Linked DNA regions of Sus scrofa. The protein of the gene in region 1 interacts with the protein of each later gene in a pairwise test. Links are inferred from orthologs where the notes say so. Each region holds a gene or a part of one and is shown on either strand. Other genes may lie near its edges.

Region 1 (7,129 bases):
GGAAGAGTCTCACCTCTGAATGGTTTCTTCCTGTTCCTTAACCATGTGTGCCAACTGCTGGAAGATGGAGCCAAGCTCCACAATTGTGGACTCAATGTTCTGCATGGTGTCTGCCCGGGTCTGGATGTAGGAGTCCTTCAGAGGGAGAGAGTGCACATGAGCCCTGGGAGCTTCCTCAGGGCGGGGCCTGCCTCTTGAGGGCCCTCCCTCTTGCCATTCCACCCACGGCACATTCCAAACGCTTGCTTGTGGCCCACGGAGGAAACCAGAGGAGCTACTCCTCCCCCGCTCAGAGCCTGGGTACCTGCTCATCAATGAGCTGCAGCTGCTGGCTGGTCCTAGAATCCATCATGTCAATGGCCACGTCCCCAGAGGCTCGGGACTCTGCCCCCAAAACCACAGCACCGCCCCCTGGGGGAAGAAAGAAGACACGGCACTCCTTAGTGGTTAAAAGGTTCAAAGCCCACATGCTCTGGATTTGAATCCCAGCTCCGGCAATTACTAGCCTTGTGACCCTGGACGTCTCTGAGACTCAGTTTCCTCAGCTATAAAACGGGGGATAATAATAGCTGCTTTCTCAAAGGGTGGTTGCCAAAATTAGATGATGGAATGTAAATAAAATGAACAGGTGCACAACAAATACTAGAAACTGTTGGAGTTCCCATCGTGGTGCAGCAGAAACGAATCCGACTAAGAACCATGAGGTTGAGGGTTCGATCCCTGGCCTTGCTCAGTGGGTTAAGGATCTGGTGTTGCCATGAGCTGTGATGTAGGTCACAGACATGGCTCAGATCTGGCGTTGCTGTGGCTGTGGTGTAGGTCACAGATATGGCGTGGATCCCACGTTTCTGTGACTGTGGCCTAGGCCAGCAGCTGTAGCTCCAACTGGACCCCTAGCCTGGGAACTTCCATATGCCAAGGGTACAGCCCTAAAAAGCAAAGAAAATAAAAATAAAAATAAAAAATACTAGAAACTGTCATTCTTGGAGTCCTATCGTGGCTCAGTGGGTTATGAACCCAACTAGTACCCGTGAGGATGCAGGTTCAATCCCTGGCCTCGCTCAGTGGGTTAAGGATCTGACGTTGCCATGAGCTGTGGTGTAGGTCACACACTCGGTTCAGATCCCACGGGGCTGTGGCTGTGGCGTAGGCTGGTGGCTGCAGCTCTTACTCCGTCCCTAGCCTGAGAACTTCCAGATGCCGTAGGTGTGGCCCTCAAAGAAAAAAAAAAAGAGAGAAACGGTCATCCTTCTGAACTTGACTTCTCACCCCAACGGTGAGAATGAATGTGGGAGACCAGGTGTGGACTGCACATCCCACCCTCAGCTTTGGCCTCTGAGAGATCAAGCCGAGCACCGTCCTTGGCCCTCCTTTCTCCTACCCAACGCCTGCCTTAGAGGGTACCCTCAGAGCCGGAGTAACGGCGCCTTACCCCCAAGGCTCCCTGCGCTGCCTGTGACTTACCGAGGTGGTTGGGCGCGAGGGGCAGGGCTGACACGGGTGCCCGGGAGAACTGCTCCCGCCGGCTCCTCTGCTGCTTCAGGTTCTGGGGTTGGGGAGGAAGGGGAAGCGCCTGAGGCCTCTGGAAGGCCGGCGTGTTAAAGAGACCCCGCCTGCGGCCCGTGACCACCCCGCCCTTCCCTTCCACTTGTCCCTTTCCTGTTTCCCTCGGGGACCCTCATCCCCAGACTCCTAGCCCCCTACACAGCTCCTTCTCACCTCTGTCCTCACTTCCAAAACTGATTTGAAGTCATTGGACATGGAGGCCAGCTTCGACTGGAAGGAGAGGAGAGAGGGTCAGCCAGAGGAGACAACAACTGTCCGCCTTCTGCCTCCCCCGCTCCCGGGTCCCACCTGCAGGGAGACCACAATGGTGTTGGAATGCGTCTGCAGGTGCCGGCCGCTCTGGCTGCCCTTGGCTCTCACGAAATCCTGAAGCTGGGCGATTTGCTTGTTGAGGCTATTGATGTCCTGGTGAAAGAGGAAGCAGAAAAACTTGAGTATCCACTGGGAGGGAGGGGGGTGTCCTCGGCCAGCGTCTCCCCCACATGGACATCGCTGGCAGGGACGGCAAGGTGGGCATTTCTAGCAGGGGTGATGGTATCTCCGACACTCAGACCAGAAAGGCCTGCTGGGACGGTCCGAGCTCTGGCGTTTGCTCTGGCTCGGTCCCTGCAGAGGAGAGCCAGAAGGAGGTGGTGACATTTGTAAATAACTGAGCTGCTGACTCCCTCCACCCGGCGGCCCCACCCCCACCCCTGCTGTGAGGCCAGGCGCATGGCCACAGAACCCCTTAAAAGGCCCAAATCTCTGACCCACAGCACACTGACCAACAGCGGGGCTGGGGCAGGACTCAGGAGATGGAAAGAGTCAAAGGCAGCATGGTTTCCCAGGAGCAATCAATAAAATTTTTACATACAGAATGCCTTCTAAAAATTACTGCTGGAGTTCCTGTCATGGCTCAGCGGAAATGAATCTGACTAATATCCAGGAGGACACAGGATCCCTGGCCTCACTCAGTGGGTCGGGGATCCAGCATTGCTGTGAGCTTTGGCTCAGATCTGGAGTGGCTGTGGCTGTGGCGTAGGCCGGCACCTGCAGCTCCAATTTGACCCCTAGCCTGGGAACCTCCATATGCTGTGGGTTCAGCCCTAAAAAGACAAAAAAGAAAAAGAAAAAGAAACAAATAATTAATAAATATTACTGTTGCGGGGAACAGCTGCAGCTCCAATTTGACCCCTAGCCTGGGACCCTCCATATGCTGTTTGTGCAGCCCTAAGAAGACAAAAAATAAAAATAAAAATAAATAATAAAATTTAAAAAATTACTAATGTGGGGAGTTCCTGTGGCTCAGTGGTAATGAACCCAACTAGTATCCATGAGGAAATGGTTCAATCCCTGGCCTCGCTCAATGGGTTAAGGATCCGGTGTTGCCATGAGCTGCAGTGTAGGTCCCAGATGCAGCTCAGATCCTCTGCTGCTGTGTCTGTGGTGTAGGCTGGCAGCTGCAGCTGCGATTCAATCCCTAGCCTGGGAACTTCCATGTGCCGCAAGTGGGGCCCTAAAAAGACAAAAAAGAAAAAAAAGAAAGAAATAGGCTAGAAAAAATAACTAGATCAGGCACCTTCTGGAGTCCTGCTGACAGCCCCCCCCATTAGTACCCCCCCAATTGCTATCCCATTCCAACCATTCTTTCAGGATGCCGGGACAATTTCCACTGCTGATTGGTCTGTCTCTTTGGAGTTAACGGAGTCTCCTCACAACCATGTGTCCAAAACTGCATTCCAGCTTTCCCCCCTCCACCAAATCTCCCCAAGAAGCTCAGAAAATGGCACCACTTCCCACCTAGGTATCTGAGCTAGAAGCTTCTCTTCTTTCTTTCTTTCTTGTTTTTTCTTTAGGGCCGCATTCGTGGCATATGGAGGTTCCCAGGCTAGGGGTCTAATCGGAACTGCAGCTACTGGCCTACACCACAGCCACAGCATCATCGGATCCGAGCCGTGACTGCGACCTACACCACAGCTCACGGCAACATCGGATCCTTAACCCACTGAGAGAGGCCAGGAATCGAACCCCCGCAGCCTCAGGGTTCCTAGTCAGATTCATTTCCGCTGAGCCATGATGGGAACTCCCCTAGAAGCTTCTAAGTCACATGCCGACACCTTCTTAACTTGACCTGCTGCCACAAGAAAACAGAGTCTACACTGAGCGTTTACTGAGCACCGGGTGCTTTGTGAACAGAATGGCAGCCCCGTGTTTGATGACCACGTGCTACGCAACCCAAGCAGCATGCGACGTCCTCTTAAACTGAACGTAGAAAACAACTCTTAACTCCCCCTCAAAAAAAACCATTCCCCCTTCTTTGCCATTTTGGTAAATGGCACCACCATTCACCAGTTGCTCAGACCAAAAACTTGAGTCATCCTCAACTCATCTCTCTTCCCTTAAACCACATGGACCCACAAAAAAAACCCCAGCTGATTCCGACATATACCCTGAATGTGTCCACCAGTCTATACCAAAGCCATCCTAGTCCAAACAGTCCACTTGTCTCTCAAAAATCTGCCAGAGCCTCCTAAGTGAGCTTCCTCTTAGAGTCTGCCCCTTACAATCTGTTTTCTACACAACAACTGCAGTGACTGTCTACACCAAAAAGAGCGCATTTCATCCCTCTGCTTGAAATCTTCCAAGAGCCTCCCACTAAATTTAGAATACAACCCAAATTCCCTACCTGGCTTACACGGGCCAATGGTCTAGCCCTGCCCACGCCTCTGGCCTCGCCGTCCCTTCTCCTTCTCACCTGCTGTGTTGTAGCCACAACGACCTTTTCCATGTGAATCTCCTGCAGCAAGGCTGCCCAGGCCTCAGGGCCTTTCCCCTTACTATTCCCACTTTCTCGAAGGTTCTCCTCCTCCCCCGATCTTTGGATAACTAGCTTTTCCCCCTTACCATTCAGGCTTCCGTGTCCCTTCCACAGCCAGGCCATCCTATATCACCATATAAAGTAGGCCCAGGAGTTCCTGTTGCGGCGCAGTGTAAACAAATCCCACTAGTATCCATGAGGTGGTGGGTTCGATCCCTGGCCTTGCTGAGTGGGTGGGGGATCTGGCACTGACGTGAGCTGTGGTGTAGGTTGCAGATACAGCTCGGATCCATAGTGGCTGTGGCTGTGGCTGTGGTGTGGGCTGGCAGCTGTGGCTTTGATTTAACCCCTAGCCTGGAAACTTCCATATGCCAAGAGTGTGGCCTTAAAAAGCCAAAAAAAACAAAATAGTAGGCCTCCCCTACCCCGAATAACTCGCTCACCTGCTTTCTTTATTAGGATTTGCCACTACCTGAAAGTGTCTTTTCTGTTTTCTTGTACAGCGTTCCGATGACCCATTCAGAAAGGAATTTCCCAAGGGCAGGGACCACAGTTGTCTTCTTTGCTACTGAGACCCCACAACCAGGCAGCCAAAAGTCACTCAATAATGTGAGTGATTGAAAAAATAAACCAGGGAGTTCCCGTTGTGGCTCAGCAGGTTACAAATCCAATTAGTATCCATGAGGATGCGGGTTTGAGCCCTGGCTTCGATCAGTGGGTAATGTTGCTGCACTGTGGTAGGTCACAGACACAGCTCAGATCCAGTGTTGTGGCGCAGGCCAGCAGCTGTGATTCGACCCTTAGTCTGGGAACTTCCATATGCTGTGAGTGTGGCCCTAAAGAGCAAAAAAAAAGAAAGAAAGAAAGAAAAAATAAACCAAAGCATCCTCACAACTTCCCTGAGGTAGGTACTATTATTGTGGCCTTTTTATTTATAAGGGGAATGAAGCTCAGGGTAGTCAGGTAGCTTACCCATGAGTGGTGAGCCCAGGTTTTGAAGTCTGTCTGAATCCAGTCAGTGGTTCTTTTGTTCGTTTTCTTTTGTTTTGCTTTTGAGGGCCGACCCCACAGCATATGGAAGTTCCCAGGCTAGGGGTCAAATCAGAGCTGCAGTTGCCAGCCTACACCACAGCCACAGCAACGCCAGACTCGAGTTATGTCTGTGGCAATGCCTGATCCTTAACCAACTTGAGGGAGGCCAGGGATCAAACCTGAATCCTCATGGATCCTAGCGGGGTTCATTACCGCTGAGCCACTACGGGAACTCCCGCAGTCAGTGGTTCTTAAATGCCTATGCAATAACGCCCCAAGACTTAATGGAACCCTCTCTTTTGGTCTCAGCACAGCATCTCTTGAATGTGTCTGCCCTTTGGCCTCTGCCATAATCACCTTCCTACTGGCAATCACACGAGTCTCCTCCCTAGCTTCTCAGTTCATCCACGCTCCAGGGTTGTTTTTTTTTTACCCTAAGATGATTCAATTTCAGAGTTCCCATCATGGCGCAGTGGTTAACGAATCCTACTAGGAACCATGAGGTTGCGGGTTCAATCCCTGGCCTTGCTCAGTGGGTTAAGGATCCGGCGTTGCCGAGAGCTGTGGTGTGGGTCACAGACGTGGCTCGGATCCCGAGTGGCTGTGGCTCTGGCGTAGGCCGGTGGCTACAGCTCCAATTAGACCCCTAGCCTGGGAACCTCCATATGCCGTGGGAGTGGCCCTAGAAAAGGCACAAAGACCAAAAAAAAAAAAGAAGATGATTCAATTTCTCATTTTATTCTTATTACATTGTTCTGAGAAAGAAAAGAATCAAACTATTAGGGAGTTGCTGTTGTGGCTCAGCGGAAACAAATATGACTAGTGTCCACCCACAGTGATCTTCACAACCAGCTACCAATCTACTCTTCCAGCCTTATCTGCGGCCAGTCACTCAACTGATCAACAAATATTGAGTATCCACTATATGCCAGACCCTGTTACAGGCACTTGGGATACATCTATAAACAAACAGGAAGAAAAATCTCTGCCGTTATGGCATTCACACTTTTTTTTTCTTTTTGAGGGAGATGAGGTAAGTGGGAGGAAACAGAGACAAACCATAAACATAAGAAAGGTAATCACAGAAACCATTAGAATGTACATAAAAATGCTATAAAAAAAGAAAACAGATGAGGGTTTGGGATGGAAATGCTGTAAAATTTGGTTGTGATGATTGTTGTACATCTATAAATGTAATAAAATTAATTAATTTTTTAAAAAAGAAAAAAAGCGAAAAAAAAGAAAGAGAAAGAAAACAGAGCAAGGGAAGGGAGATCAGAGTTTGGGGTGCGGGGGTGTTGAACAGTACAGTGACAGCAGGCCTCCCTGGGCAGGTGACTTCCGAGCAGAGCCCGGAATTTTCCCTCTTACGAGACATGCCACTGCACACACTGTTTCCTCTTTCTGGAATATTCTTCCACTGCCTCTATACGAGCCTTGAAACCAGCTCAGATTTCACCTTCTCTATAAAATCTTTCCCAGCGTCCCTGGACTATCTCATTTATCTTTTTGTAAGACCTTTTCTGGGAGTTCCTGTTGTGGTTCAGCGGGTTAAGAACCTGTCATAGTGTCCATGAGGATGTGGGTTTGATCCCTGGCCTCACTCATTGGGTTAAGGATCTGGAGTTGCCACAAGCAGCAGTGTGGGTCTGAAAGCCATGGTGTAGGTCAGAGATGTATTGCAGATCCCATGTGGCTGTGGCTGTGGCGTAGGCTGGCAGCTGCAGCTCCGAT
Region 2 (7,129 bases), about 2.8 Mb from region 1:
AAAAAAAAAAAAAAAAAAAAAATTTTTATTGAAGTATGGTTGATTTACAATATTGTGTTAGTTTCTGGTGCGTAGTAGCAAAGCGATTCAGTTTGTATATATGAATTAAGGAGGCTCTTCAGGGGAGTTCCTGTCGTGGCTCAGTGGTTAATGAATCCAACTAGGAACCATGAGGTTGCAGGTTCGATCCCTGGCCAGTGGGTTAAGGATTCCGTGTTGCCGTGAGCTGTGGTGTAGGTTGCAGATGCCGCTCGAATCGCGCGTAGCTGTGGCTCTGGTGTAGGCTGGCGGCTACAGCTCCGATTTGACCCCTAACCTTGAACCTCCATATGCCTCGGGAGTAGCCCAAGAATGGCAAAAAAGACCAAAAAAAAAAAAAAAAAAAAAAAAAAAAAGAAAGAGGCTTTTCAGACTTAATGGGGGGGGGGGCAGTTGAGTGTTTTATTTATTTATTTATTTTTTTGTCTTTTTGTCTTTTGTTGTTGTTGTTGTTGCTATTTCTTGGGCTGCCCCCGCGGCATATGGAGGTTCCCAGGCTAGGGGTTGAATCGGAGCTGTAGCCACCGGCCTACGCCAGAGCCACAGCAACGCAGGATCCGAGCCGCGTCTGCAACCTACACCACAGCTCACGGCAACGCCAGATCGTTAACCCACTGAGCAAGGGCAGGGACCGAACCCGCAACCTCATGGTTCCTAGTCGGATTCGTTAACCATTGCGCCACGACGGGAACTCCGAGTGTTTTAAATTAGTGGGGTAGGAGTTCTCATCATGGCTCAGAGAAACAGTATCCACAAGGACGCAGGTTTGATCCCTGGCCTCGCTCAGTGGGTTAAAGATCCAGCACTGCCATGAGCTGTGGTGTAGGTTGAAGACATGGCTTGGGTCTGGCCTTGCTGTGGTTGTGCTATAGGCTGGCAGCTATAGCTCCAATTCAGCCGCTAGCCTGGGAACCTCCATATGCTGCAAGTGTGACCCTAAAAATACCAAAAAAAAAAAAAGTAGTAAGGTGTGGTTAGTTGGGGTGAGTATCCTGGGAGATATGTATATATTTCTTTCTCAGATTCTTTTTCATTATGGGTTATTATAAGATATTGGATATAGTTCCCCTGCTGTACAGTAAATCCTTGTTGTTTATTTCATATACAGCAGTGTGTATCTGTTAATCCCAGACTCTTAATTTATTCCCCCCCCTTTCCCTTTGGTAATTATAAGTTTGTTTTCTATGTCTGTGAATCTGTTCATTTGTATTATTTTTTAGAATCCAACTATAAGTGATATCATATAATATTTGTCTTTGTCTGACTTACTTAGTATGATAATCTCTAGTTCCATCCTTGTTGTTGCAAATGGTATTATTTCATTTTCATTCCTTTTCATGGCTGAGTAGTGTTTCATGGTATGTATACGTACCACTTCTTCACCTGTTCATCTGTTATTTCCCTGTCTTGGTTATTATAAATAGCATTGCTCTGAACATAGGGATGCATGTATCCTTTTGAATTAGTTTTGTCCAGATAGATGCCCACGAATGAGATGGCTGGGTCATATGGTAGTTGTATATTTAGTTTTTAAAGGAACCTCCATACTGTTTTCCGTAGTGGCTGCATGAATTTACATTCCCACCATCATGTAGGGGGGTTCTCTTTTCTAGCAGTGGAGTCTTAAAAAAAAACAAAAAAACAAAACAGCTCTTGTTTGGAATTCAGTTTGAAGAGCTGGTAGAGGAGAGCTGCCCAGGTTGAAGTAGGGGACGGGGTCGAGTCTGGCCCTGGTGGCCCCTCTCACACTCTCCTCTAGGGAGGCCTCTGAGGCTCCCAGAGGCAGCTTAGGGTTGAGCGTGCCTCCCTGGTTTACAGCTGAGGAAACTAAAGTGTTCCTTCCGAAGATTGTTGGTCATCATTTGTCCTGTTTGGTGGTCATCAGACACATGATCCTTGTCCTTGAAGAAATGGCACGATGTTCAAGTGGCACAAGGAAACTTGACACAAGACCCCCAGGAAAGCCGTGTAGAAAGACATGCTGAAACGCACATGCCCTCAGCCTCAGATGAGCTCGGGGAGATCTGGGGTGCCCAGAGGCGGCTGGGCCATGGATGGGCAAGAGTGCCACTGTGGGAGTTCCCCTTGTGGCTCAGTGGGTTAAGAACCCAACATAGTGTGCATGAGGTTGTGGGTTTGATCTTTGGCCACAACAAAAAAGTAAAAAGAGTGCCACCATGTACAGGCCCAGGAAGAGATTCTCCTTAGAGGCATGGGGGCAAAAGTGGTGTGTGTGTGGGTGTGTGTGTGTGTATGTGTGTGTGTGTGTGTGTGTGTGTGTGTTGGAAGTGGTAGGGGTGGGGGGCAGACATGAAGAGAACAGTCTGACTAGAGTAAAAAGTTTGTCTTGGAATAGTGAATATTGAGTTTCAGTAGAGAACACAGCGCCATATTCCAAAGGCCTGTGACTACCGTCTAGGGCGTTGCATTTGACTGAGTAGCCTGCATGTAACTTCAGGTTGCAGTCTATTAGGAAGATAATCTGGTATCCATATGAAAGCGGATTGGCATGGGGAAGAGGCAAGAGGTGGGTGGGTCTCTAGTTGGGTTTTTGCAGTGGTTTTGGTCTGAATTTGCACGGTGATCATGGGATTGAAAGCACTGTAGATATGGATGATTTTTGCAAAGGAAAAACGAGTAGGGCTTGATGCTGAGAGGTGGGCAATGAATCAAAATGATAAAGATAGGAGTTTAGGCCCCAGGGCCGTTGAGTGAATGCCTTGAGTTGGATGCAAGAAAAGTTGGGGAGATGAGTCTGCGTATGAGCCCAAGGACCTTTGGATGTAGGAGGTGAGTCCGCAGCTTTAGAGAGCAGGGCCTCTGAGATTCACAAAGAGGTCTCCTTTGGTCTCACAGTTACTTCACGAGTTCATCAAGGCAGGTAAACAAATACTGAAAGCATGCTTTGGAAGGGTCAGCCGGCTCTCCCAGTGGTGTAAGGTTAGAAAACCAAAAAGTTGAGTCTCACAGTTCCCATCATGACCCAGCAGGTTAAGAACCCGTGAGGATGCAGGTTTGATCCGTGGCCGCGCTCAGTGAGTTAAGGATCTGGCTTTTGCCACAAGCTGTGGTGTCGGTCCCAGATGCAGCTTGGATCCCCTGTGGCTGTGGCTGTGCCATAGGCTGGCAGCTCCTGTTTCACTCAGAGCTGGGGAACTTCCGTATGCTGAGGGTGCAGCTGTGACAAGAAAAAAAAAAATAGTTGAGTCTTTTTTCCAAGCCCGGTGCTACCATAGAGGAGGCTGTGTGGGGCTGGGGTTCTGTAAGTCGTGGACCTTCCGTCTCCCTCTCCCCCCGGGGGCTCACGGCCTTTGACCTTGTCCCCACAGCACTCCGTCCTCTCCCGCAAGTTTGTGGAGGTGATGACCAAATACAACGAGGCGCAGGTGGACTTCCGTGAACGCAGCAAAGGGCGGATCCAGCGGCAGCTGGAGATCAGTGCGTGTTTGAAGTTTGGCCTGTGCCCCTTCCCCTTTCCTGCCACGCACTTGTCAGTCCCAGATTGTGAGGCCAGAGGAGAGGGAGCAGCCCCGTGGGTGGCCTCTGCCTTCTGTTTTGTGCCCAAGCCGAGGAGAGGCCTTACAGCACTGGCGCATCCTGGACGTGGTGTCTCAGGCTGGAGGGTGGCTCCAGGTCATCAGGCACCAGTGTTCGGTTGCCATGGGAACCGGCGTTTCCTCCTACATGGAGGGAAACATCTGCTACCCAGCTGCCCTCTTCTGAGCTTACGACATCTCTTGCTGCCTGTTGACAGCAAAGAAGGATGCTAGTTGCCGTGAGGAATCAAGAAATCAATAAAGCCGGCCCTTTAGGAATCAGCTGTGTGGAGGGCAGGGCGGGATGTGGTTTGGGTGCAGGAATTGTATAAACAAAGGTGCAGCCAGGACAGAGCACATGTGGTCAGGAGGGGCGGCTGTCCCGGGCCTGGGGACGGGGCGCATTTGGGCAGCAGGGTGAGGTCAGGACAGATGGGGGGGTGGTCACCCAGGCAGCATGGGCTCCTCCTCCTGAGGACCTTGTTCTCTGTGGCATAGTCAAGGGGCCAGTAAGCATTCTGAGCTGGAGGGAATGTGATCAGACTTGTGCTTCAGGAAGGGAATTGCTGATCCTGTTAGGGATGGACTGGGCTAGGGGAGAACTCAGGAGAAAGGCGAGTCGGGAGGCCCTTGGAGTGTTGCAAAGGCCTTGGTCTTTATGATGAGGTTGGTGTGATTCCCACTTGGGGGGAACTTTTGAAATGGTGTGCTCTGCTTCTTTTGTTATAAAGCTGGCAAGAAGACAACGGATGAGGAGCTGGAGGAGATGCTGGAGAGTGGGAACCCTGCCATCTTCACCTCGGGGGTGAGTGATGCAGGGCAGGGGGCAGGGAGGAGGGAGCCCTGCTGGGGTGGGGGCTGAAGGTCTCTGTGTGGACCGTCGTAGATCATCGACTCTCAGATTTCCAAGCAAGCCCTCAGCGAGATCGAGGGGCGGCACAAGGACATTGTGAGGCTGGAGAGCAGCATCAAGGAGCTTCACGACATGTTCATGGACATTGCCATGCTGGTGGAGAACCAGGTAATGCCCGGGGTACCAGCATAGGCAGGGAGGGCGGAAGCCCTGGGTCTCCTGCAAAGCCTGAGGAGGGGCCTCCTGGAAAACCGGGTGGGGCTGGAGAATCATTAGGAATTTGCAGTGGAATCAGAGAATTCCAGTGTGGCCGGGAAAGGAATGAACTTGGGTGCTGACACTTCCAACAATCACAACTTTGTCCTTCGAGCCTGTTACTTTGGCTCGGAAATCACTTCTACTTAATATGGGGTTTGCTGTGCTCTGCCAAGTACCTGGTTTCCTCCAGCCTCAGGATTGCTGTTTTTTTTTTTTTTTTTTTTTTTTTTTAAAGTTAGAAATACAGGTTCTTAATGATGCCTTAAAACAACCTCCTGATAGGAACTATTTCACTGGTGACATGGATACATAGGGTCTTTTCCCAGGTTCACAATGAGAAGTTAGGTTTAACAGGTTTTTATGCTTTGCTTTTTTTTTTTTGTCTTTTTGCCTTTTCTAGGGCCACTCCCGTGGCATATGGGGGTTCCCAGGCTAGAGGTCTAATCGGAGCTGTTGCCGCTGGCCTACGCCAGAGCCACAGCAACACGGGATCCGAGCTGCATCTGCGAGCTACACCACAGCTCACGGCAACACCAGATCCTTAACCCACTGAGCAAGGCCAGGGATCGAACCTGCAACCTCATGGTTCCTAGTCGGATTTGTTAACCACTGTGCCACAACTGGAACTCCCTGTTTTGCCATTTTTGTTTCTTCTCCTGTATGTGTTTTTCCAAAATTTTGGATGCTTTTTGCTAAGGAACAAGAGCAGACCACACGGTAAATGAAGAAAGAGCAAAAGAATATTTGCAGGAAAACTGGAAACACTTCCAGTGCTTAGGTTGCTGGCCTGTTTGGTTCTGGTTCAGGGATGGAAGGCTCTGTCCCCTGCATGGTGGTGTCAGTCGCATGGCTCCTGGTTCTTATGATGCAGTTAAATACGCCACGGTGCTGTGGTTTGGTGGCACTATTTCCAGGCTCTGCCACCTGGAAAGGCTGGAAAGCTGTTTTCTTTGTAGAAGGAAACCCAACTGAAGCCTGAGCACTACCTGGCTGGTTTTGACATCAATTCCCTGGTCTGGGCTCTGGGGCCTTTCCTCCACTCCCTCTGGCCTCAGAGACCACTTCTCCATCCCTCCATTCCCACTCTTCTTTTTTCTCCCCACACTGCCTTGCCGAGGGACTGGTTTGAGATTCGAGTGGTGGTAAGTGCCTTTCCCTGTTTAAAGACTCCCATAAAGCCATGGGTTGGGTTCGGAAGGTCTGGGTCAGTGAAGGGAATTCCCAGCCTAAGATGCGAAGAAAATCAGTTGGAGAAACCAACTCTCCGGTCAGGAAGTAATAGCTGAGAAATGGTTGGGAATCTTATTAAGAGACCTCTGTCTCTTAACCAGATAACTGGTAAAAACCAATGTTTGTCAGTTGTGGGGCCTGGAATTATCTTAGAGAAACCACAGCTGTTCCCACCTCAGTTATTTATTGAGCATCTGCTGTGTGCTGGGCACTATTCTCTAGAAGTGAACACACTCAGTTCAGGCTGAATGAACTTGGTTCAGGTCTGAATCACCAGGAAGAGGTCAGCATCTTGGTAATGCCCTAAGAACATGAGATATACTTTTCTTGGCTTCTTTCCTTACATAGTTCATGTTAAAAAAAAGAACATACCAAGCCTCTAGACAATGTGCCCCAGCTGCCCGGGGCTGTGCTGTCTCGGAGAAGTAATTGAGTGAATGTTTCTGGGACAACTCCCACGGCCTGGGCATCACAGGTAGTCAAGGGTCATGGGGAAGATGTGATAGTTGGTCCTGTGGAAGGCTGCACAGTGAAGTTTCCAGATGCTCCTCTTGGCGCTGAAAAGAAGGAGAACTGCTTTCTCACCTGAGTAGGACCATCCTCAGGTGGGTTTCCCAGGTGTGACGAGTGTCTGTTCTTTGCAGGGTGAGATGTTAGATAACATAGAGTTGAATGTCATGCACACAGTGGACCACGTGGAGAAGGCTCGGGAGGAAACGAAAAGAGCCGTGAAGTACCAGGGTCAGGCCCGCAAGGTGAGACTCTGGCACTGCCTTTGGAGAAGAGGATCCATTGTGTGTGCTGTCTCTTGCTCTCTCTCTCTCTCTCTCTCCTCCCCACCCTGCTCCTCTCTCTCCCCATCTCTCTTCCTGCTTCTGCCACCTCTCGTATCCGGGGGAAGGGAGCCATGATTGACCGTATTGAGAACAACATGGACCAGTCAGTGGGCTTCGTGGAGCGGGCCGTGGCGGATACCAAAAAGGCTGTCAAGTATCAGAGTGAAGCTCGGAGGGTGAGCCCTTGGTCTCGGCTGGACCAACAGCTTGTCCTCTCTCTGGTCGTTCCCTACCAGTGTCCCTGAGTCCACACCTTCCCTCTGTCCTGGCCTCATCCAAAAGCCCCCGTCAGCCTTCCCTAGAGAATAGCTGCCCTTCCTTCCCGGGTGTGCCTCGTATGGATCTGGCTCTCAGGCGCCCTACCCAGGACCCCACAC
Region 3 (7,854 bases), on another chromosome or scaffold:
CTTCGCTCTCTCTCTCTCTCTCATCATCCCCCGTCTTCCTCGGTCTCCATCTCTCCTGGGTGTGTCCCTTCCTTTCCTTCAGGAGCCTCTCAGTACTGGCTCAGCCTTTGGCCACCAATTTCTCGGTGGCCGCACGCCCTCTGCTGGTGCAGACAAAGTTTAGCTGCTGGTCACTCGCTCAGCCCGCCCCACCTTCCCGAATGCCGGTGTCTGCCTCTTGCCTTCCTACCTGGAGAGCGTCCTAAAGCCAGCGTCCAGGTCTGCAGCCTTGAGAAAAGATGCAGGTTCTGCAGCTGGACGCTGGGAGCCCCTAAGAAGGGGGCCCTGTCTCCCGTCTAGGCTGGGAGCCTCCTGCCCCACGGCAGTGGGCTCTCAGACGAGCTTCAGAAAGGGCACAGAGCATCTTTCCCCTGAAGCCCCCTTCACACCCATTTGGTTTGCATCCATCCAATTACTCAAGGACTGAGTAACTGCCTTTCTGTTACATGTCAGACATTGATCTAGGGCAGCATGACCAACAGGGTAGCCATTGGCCACAGTGGTTCTTGAGACCTGAACTGTGGTGAGTATGAATTGAGATGCTCTTACTGTAATGTATACACTGGAAGACTTAGTATGAAAAACCGAGAATAATTCCAATACTTTCTGGGTGGCCGCGCTCATGGCATATGGAACTTCCCAGGCCAGGGATCACACCTGTGTTGACCAGTGACAATACTGGATCCTTATCCCACTAGGCCATCAGGGAACTCCATCCATTTTCTTTTTTTTCTGTCTTTTTAGGGTCACGCCCTTGGCATATGGAAGTTCCCAGGCTAGGAGTCGAATCGAGCTACAGCTGCCAGCCTACACCACAGCCACAGTAACGCCGCATCCTTAAGCCACTGAGCATTGAACCCGCTTCCTCAGGGATACTAGTCGGGTTCGTTACTGCTGAGCCACAATGGGAACTCCCCCATCCATTTCTGTATTTATTACAGGCTGAAAGGACACTGTTTTGGACGTATTGGATTAAATGAAATCTATTACTGCCATTCATTTCATCTGTTTCTTTTTTTCTTTTATTTTTATTTCTTTATTTTTGTCTTTTTGCCTTTTCTAGGGCCACACCCATGGCATATGGAGGTTCCCAGGTTAGGGGTCGAATCGGAGCTGTAGCTGCCGGCCTACACCAGAGCCACAGCAATGCAGGATCCGAGCCGCATCTGCAACCTACACCAAGCTCACGGCAACACCGGATCCTTAACCCACTGAGCAAGGCCAGGGATCGAACCTGCAACCTCATGGTTCCTAGTCAGATTCGTTAACCACTGAGCCACGACGGGAACTCCTCTTTTTTTCTTTTAATGTGGCCACTAATAAACTTTATAATTACACATGCGGGATGGTTGGCCAGCGCTGCTCAATGGACCAGGAATACCAGAGTGAGTAAAACTGAGCCTGCCCTGTGGAGCTCATGTTCTAGTGGGGGAGACAGAGACTAGACAGACAAGTGGATGGCAGTGCCATGAAGAGAAGGAAAGCAGGAAGAGGAGAGAGGGCCATAGGGCAGCGGCCTTACAGGAAGCAGAGCTCTGAGTGAAGTGAGGGGTGAGACCGTGGGTCACCGGAGACAGGAAGGCACACAGCGCATACAGAGGCTTCGGCTCTCGCACTGTCCGGCCTCCCCAGGGCAAATGAGATACGGTGTCCAGACAGGTGGGGACACAGCAGGCACTTAATCAATGGTTACTCCTTCCCTACCACCCAGCATCAAGGTGGAGGCTCAGTCACCCCTGAGCCACCTCTCCCAAGTCCCAGGGTCACAGCTTGGTGCCCCCTTCACTCACTGCTTCCTCCTCACCCTCCCAGGGGACAGACAGGGACCCGGCTACTTACTTTTTGCAGTGGTGCCACCTGCAGGGCCCTCAGGCAGGTCCATGGGGCACCCCCGCTGCTCTGCAGCTGCCGGTGAAGCTAAGAGCTTCCCTCCATCAGTGGGAGGGACGGCGAGGGAGAGGCTGCTCTGAGAGCTCCTGGAGGGACAAACAGGGGAATGGCCTCTGCAGACCAGCCACCCGCGGATGGGGACCTGGCTGCCCCACCCCTGCCCCAGGCCATTCTGGGTTCTCAGAACCCGTTTGCCCACCCCAGCCTGGACCAGAGCAGATCCCTGGTCCGACCTGTTTTACGGATGCCGGGAAAACAGGGGCCCAAGGAGTGGGCAGCAGACGTCAAAGGGGGGCTGGTGGGTGGGGGGTCACTGCCTCTTGCCATCCCTCCTCTACACCGTTTGTCAAGCTCCCCGGCCCTGTCCCTTCTGCCCAGTGACTCCACCCTGTCCCCTCCTCTCCTTCCCTCTGGCCCTGGGTCAGCCCTCGGCCTCGTCCCCCGCCCCCAGGATCTTGACCCAGCTTCCTGCCTCTAGCCTCCTGCTCTAGTCCCTCCTCACAGGGCCCGACAGCCGCCCTGCCCCTCAGCTGCCCAATGTCTTTCCATGGCTCCCAAGCACCCCAGGGACAAAGCCTCAAACCTGAACTTGATATCAAAGGCCCTGAGTGGCCTGATATCACCACCTGCCTCCCCCAACCCCAAATCCCATGTGCTGTTCCCCAAACTGGACTGGCTCTTCCCACTCCAGGTCTCTGACTCGGACACCCTCCTTGCTGGCCCTTCCTGTCCAGTTCATCCCTCCTCTGGAAAACACTTCTTTCTTTTTTGTTTTTGCGTCTTCTTCTTCTTCTTCTTTTTTTTTGTCTTTTTGCCATTTCTGGGGCCACTCCCACGGCACATGGAGGTTCCCAGGCTAGGGGTCCAATCAGAACTGTAGCCACCGGCCTACACCACAGCCACAGCAACGCGGGATCTGAGCCATATCTTTGACCTACACCACAGCTCATGGCAACGCCGGATCCTTAACCCACTGAGCGAGGCCAGGGATCGAACCCGCAACCTCATGGTTCCCAGTCGGGTTCGTCAACCACTGTGCCATGACGGGAACTCCTGTTTTTGCTTCTTAGGGCTGTACCTGTGGCACATGGAGCTTCCCAGGCTAGGGGTAGAATGGGAGCTGTAGCCCACAGCCTACACCACAGCCACAGCAACGCCAGATCCAGGCCACGCTTGTGACCTACACCACAGCTAATGGCAATGCTGGATCTTAACCCACTGAGAGGGGTCAGGGATCGAACCCACATCCTTATGGATAGTAGTTGGGTTTGTAACCCGCTGAGCCACAACTCCCTTGAAAACGTTTCTGAATGATGCACGGTCCCTGGGCTCCCACACTGCCCTGGGGCACTAACATCCTTGCTCTATCAGCTTGTATTTGAACTGCTGGCCTCCGCTGTGAGTCTGACCCCTGTCTCTCTCCAGCTCCCAGCCCTTCCATGGCTCCCTAGTGCCCTCAGCCCCTCTCTCTTCATCCCAGCTTCTTAGGCTGGTGTGACACAGACTGGTCCCTGCAGCTCCTGGCTTCTGTCACCCTTCTCTCCACTGGCCAACCTCTAGGTCCCTCACTCTCATCATGGCCTATGGAGACCCAGCATTCTCTGGACCCAGCAAACTCCTCTGGGGAGCCTTCCCGGAGCCACTGGAGCAGCTAGGGACGCCCTCCTTTGTGCCCTGACGATGCCCTGACGATGACAATGGTGCCCACAGGGCTGAACTGGGCACGCTGGGGCTAATGGTCATCGCAGGGTTGCCTGGGGCCTCTCTGTCCTCACCCCACCCGCACAGCCCCTTTCCTCACCCAGTACTCCCCATACCCCCTTCTCCCTGGTGCCAGGCAGGAGCTACAGCTATGGCATGCACGCTTCCTGGCCATTTTTAGAAGGTCCTAGAAAAAGGGATCTTTGAAGAGAGACCCTTTCAGGGTGTGGACAAGGCGGGGGGGGGGACGGGCGGCGGAAGAGGGTCAATAGTTGTGGGTCCTGTGTGGGGAAGGGTCCCTGAGAGCCTCTGACAGGGTTTGGGGGACACACTCCTGGTGAGGGACCCAGGGAGGCTTTGGGGTCTTGGATGGGGAGATTCTAGCAGGAGGACCTGGGCAGGAATTCTGGGGATATAAGGGGGTCTCTAACTGGATTTCAAGAGGGTCTCTGACTGGATTTCTGGGGAGTCTCTGGGTTTGGGGGGGCGGACATTTCTGACAGGATTTTGGAGGGGAATCTGACATGATTTTTGGTGGATGTGACAAGACTTCTGGAGATCTCTGGGAGGACCTTGGGGGCTTTCTAGTAGGATTTACAGAGGGAGTGAAATGGGACTTCAGGGGGGCTCTCTGACAAGCTCTGAGGGGGAAGACTACAGAATTTCTAGAAGATTCTGACGCGATTTCAGGGGTCATCTATAAGATTTCGGGGGGGTTCCTTTCAGTATTTCTGAAGGAATTTGGTCAGGATTTCAACAAGGCTTTTTACAAGGCTTGGGAGGCTTCTGCATTGGGGCTCTAGCCTATGATTTGGGGGCTTCGCTAGTCAGGAGGAGTTCTGACGCGGCTACTCTGGGGAACCTCGCTAAGGCCGGAGCGCACCTGAGGCCACGGCCCAGTCTCGGGACACAGCTGAAGGCCACGAACGGGACAGTCTCGGGACACAGCTGAAGGCCACGAACGGGAAAAGGCAGTTGGGTCGTGAGGAGACGCGCGTGCGCTCTTCCCGCCAGAAAAAGCGAAGAAACAGAGGCGTGACCGAGAGCGAACGCGGTGCCTAAGCCACGCCCCTCCCGGGCTCCTCCCCCGACGCAGGCGCACACCGGGGCGAGGCGCGCGCTCATGCAGGTACCAGCAAGGCTGCGCATGCGTAGAGATGCCCGCGGGCGAGCCCCGCCTGGTGGGGCGGGGCGGGGCGGGGCGGGCGCATGCGTATTGGCCGAGCGTCTAAGGCAGAAGGGGTTCCCAACTGAGAGGAGGCGGCGGGGTCACCTACGTCCCCTGTACTGGGTCTTCTCTGTGGGCTCAAGTTTCGGTGAAACGGACCCCAGTGAGGGAGAGCTGTTATGAGCCACCAAGTTTTGCCCTCTGTTCAATGCTGGGCTGCCGGTCACCGTCACAATGCCGTCCTGCCTCACCCCTCCGGAGCCGTTTTGGGGCTCCAGTCACGAAGGGGTCATAGATCCCCGAAGAATTTTTTCCCAAACCGTTTAATTCATTCCCTTTCGGAGAGAGTGGAGAAAAAATACCTTCAGCTTTTCTGGCTAGAGAGAGGAAGAGGATTACAGCCCAGATTGACTCCCTGGGAGGGGCATTTGGGATAAAAGATGTTATGCCCACTCGGCCTCTTTGCTAGCCCAGACAGAGAAAAGGCATCCTTTTTCTTTAATTTTTATTTTTTGCCTTTTGTCTTTTTAGGGCTGCACCCCGAAGCATAGGGAGGTTCCCAGGCTAGGCGTCGAATCGGAGCCTACGCCACTGCCACACCAGATCTGAGCCGGGTCTGCGACCTTACCACAGCTCACGGCAACACCGGATCTTTAACTGAGCGAGGCCAGGGATGGAACCTGCATCCTCATGGATGCTAGTCATATTCCTTTCCGCTGAGCCACGACAGGAACTCTGAAAAGGCATCCTTTTGCATCCTCTTCTCCATCTCACCATCATGCGTTCAGCGGTCACTTCCTAAGAGAGGCCTTCCGCTGACACACTGTCTACACTTCAGATCCTCATCTCTATCCACTTACTGTTTTTTAGTGGTCCTCGTGGCACGTCTCACCATGTGATCTACTCTAAGTTTGTGCACTGTCACCTCCCTCCGCCCCCACTCCCCACCGCCTCCCCCGTTGTGAGCTCTTAGCAGTAAGAAGTTGTTTGGGAACCAAAACATAGCTGGTCCAGTGTGTACACCCCAAAATTTTTTGTTGAATGAATGAACGAATGGATGGACAGTATCCTTGCCTCTGAACTGCTGGGCAGTGTAGAGTGATAAGACCAGAGTCAGACATTCTTGGGTTTGAATTTTGGCTCCATCGCTTCCTTCCCGTAACCTCAGTTTTCCTCCCAGAAATGGAGATAACAATTGCTTCTCAGGTTACCTCAAGGACTTAAGGTGGTAATCCTTGTTAATTGATGGTTATTATTTTGGCTATTAGATGGTGGTTTGTTAAAAATCTGGGAAAGAACCTGTTTGGTAGGTGATGTGGTGAGTGGTGAAAAGCATGAGATGTGGAATGAGACAACCCAGCGCCATTGCTGTGTGACTTTGGCAAGTGATTTCACCTCTCTGAACCTTCAGCATCTTCCCTAAAATAAGAACAAATAATACCCACCTCAGTGGTCTTATGAGATTCAAAAGAATGTTTGCCACGTGTTTTCTTGGCAGTGGCTCTCAAGTGGTGGACCCTGTTAACTTTATTAGTATGATGTAATTCTTTCATTTTATTCCTTCAGTATTCCTTGCTTTTTCTTTTTCTTTTTTTTCTTTTTCTTTTTTTTGAGGAAGTTAATTTTGTGAAAACTAAAATAATTAAAAAACTGTTTTAGGAGTTCCCATTGTGGCTTAGCAGAAACGAATCTGACTAGCATCCATGAGGATGTAGTTTCTTTTTTTTTTTTTTTTTGTCTTTCTGCCTTTTCTAGGGCCGCTCCCGCGGCATATGGAGGTTCCCAGGCTAGGGGTTGAATCAGAGCTATAGCCGACGGCCTACACCAGAGCCACAGCAACGTGAGATCCGAGCCACCACGTCTGCGATCAACACTGCAGCTCACAGCAATGCCAGATCGTTAACCCACTAAGCAAGGCCAGGGATTGAACCCACAACCTCATGGTCCCTAGTCAGATTCGTTAACCACTGCGCCAGGATGGGAACTCCCATGAGGATGTAGTCTCGATCCCTGGCCTTTCTCATCGGCTTAAAGATCCAGCATTGCTGTGAGCTGCGTCGTAGGTCAAAGATGTGGCTCGGATCTGGCGTTGCTGTGGCTGTGGCATAGGCCAGCAGCTACAACTCCAATTCAACCCCTAGCCTGGGTCTGCAGTAGCGTAGGCTCCACTTCGACCCTAGCCTGGGAACCTCCATAGGCCGTGGGTATGGCCCTAAAACGACAAACAACAACAACAAACAAACCTGTTTTATAGTCACATACGTAAAGTGCTAAATCTTGTTGTAGCTCAATTACATTTTTATAGAGTAATGCTTTAATGAAACCACCCAAATTAAAAAAAGAATATTACCTGCAGCACAGAAGCCTTCACACCTCCTCCTAATCACTACTCTCTAAAGGTGAGCCATTTTTTAAAAATTTATTTAATTTTTGGTCCATACCTGTAGCACCAACAAGTTCCCTGGCCAGGCATCAAACTTGAGTCATAGCTATGGCAATGCCGAATCCTTAACTGCTAGGCCATCAAGGAACTACATCAAATCATATTTTAAAAAATTTCACCAAAAATCTTTTGTCGAGTTCCCATCATGGCTCAGTGGTTAATGAACCTGACTAGGATTCATGAGAATGCCAGTTCGATCCCTGGCTTCTCTCAGTGAGTGGGTTAAGGATCTGGGGTTGCTGTGAGCGATGGTGTAGGTTGCAGACAAGGCTTGGATCTCGAGTTGCTTCGGCTGCAGTGTAGGCCAGTGTCTGTAGCTCTGATTCAAACCTAGCCTGGGAACCTCCATCTGCCATGGGTGCGGCCTTCGAAAGCAAATACATAAATAAATAAATAAAATAATCTTTTTGTTCCTAATGTCTAGGGATAGAATTGATTTTGGTTAATCTTATATACAGAGAAAGGTAGCAGAGTACACCTCCCCAAGATATCCTCCTGCGGCACAAGGATCGTTTTTCTTTTCTTTTTTGGCTGTTGCGTGGCATGTGGAGTTCCCAGGCCAGGGATCCATTCTGAGCTGTGCTTGCAGCAAAGTGGGATCCTTAGCCAACTG

What was found.
Region 2: the proteins of STX5 (region 1) and STX3 interact in binary tests that used the Homo sapiens proteins (3 or more experiments, as listed by UniProt). The link is inferred for Sus scrofa from reciprocal best matches to the Homo sapiens genes STX5 and STX3.
Region 3: the proteins of STX5 (region 1) and CCDC155 interact in binary tests that used the Homo sapiens proteins (3 or more experiments, as listed by UniProt). The two-hybrid records come from large-scale screens. The link is inferred for Sus scrofa from reciprocal best matches to the Homo sapiens genes STX5 and KASH5.

What each region holds. Positions count from the first base shown.
Region 1 is NC_010444.4:8,942,429-8,949,557, reverse strand, and holds part of STX5 (syntaxin-5), read right to left. Parts: intron 1,972-7,129; coding exon 1,855-1,971; intron 1,777-1,854; coding exon 1,720-1,776; intron 1,547-1,719; coding exon 1,465-1,546; intron 412-1,464; coding exon 305-411; intron 136-304; coding exon 14-135; intron 1-13. UniProt on the Homo sapiens protein: Mediates endoplasmic reticulum to Golgi transport.
Region 2 is NC_010444.4:11,703,304-11,710,432, reverse strand, and holds part of STX3 (syntaxin-3), read left to right. Parts: intron 1-3,368; coding exon 3,369-3,477; intron 3,478-4,306; coding exon 4,307-4,380; intron 4,381-4,461; coding exon 4,462-4,596; intron 4,597-6,560; coding exon 6,561-6,671; intron 6,672-6,817; coding exon of another isoform or gene 6,818-6,928; intron 6,929-7,129. UniProt on the Homo sapiens protein: Potentially involved in docking of synaptic vesicles at presynaptic active zones. Apical receptor involved in membrane fusion of apical vesicles.
Region 3 is NC_010448.4:54,473,837-54,481,690, reverse strand, and holds the start of CCDC155 (protein KASH5), read right to left. Parts: upstream 4,703-7,854; 5' UTR 4,514-4,702; intron 2,016-4,513; 5' UTR 1,922-2,015; coding exon 1,879-1,921; intron 1-1,878. UniProt on the Homo sapiens protein: As a component of the LINC (LInker of Nucleoskeleton and Cytoskeleton) complex, involved in the connection between the nuclear lamina and the cytoskeleton.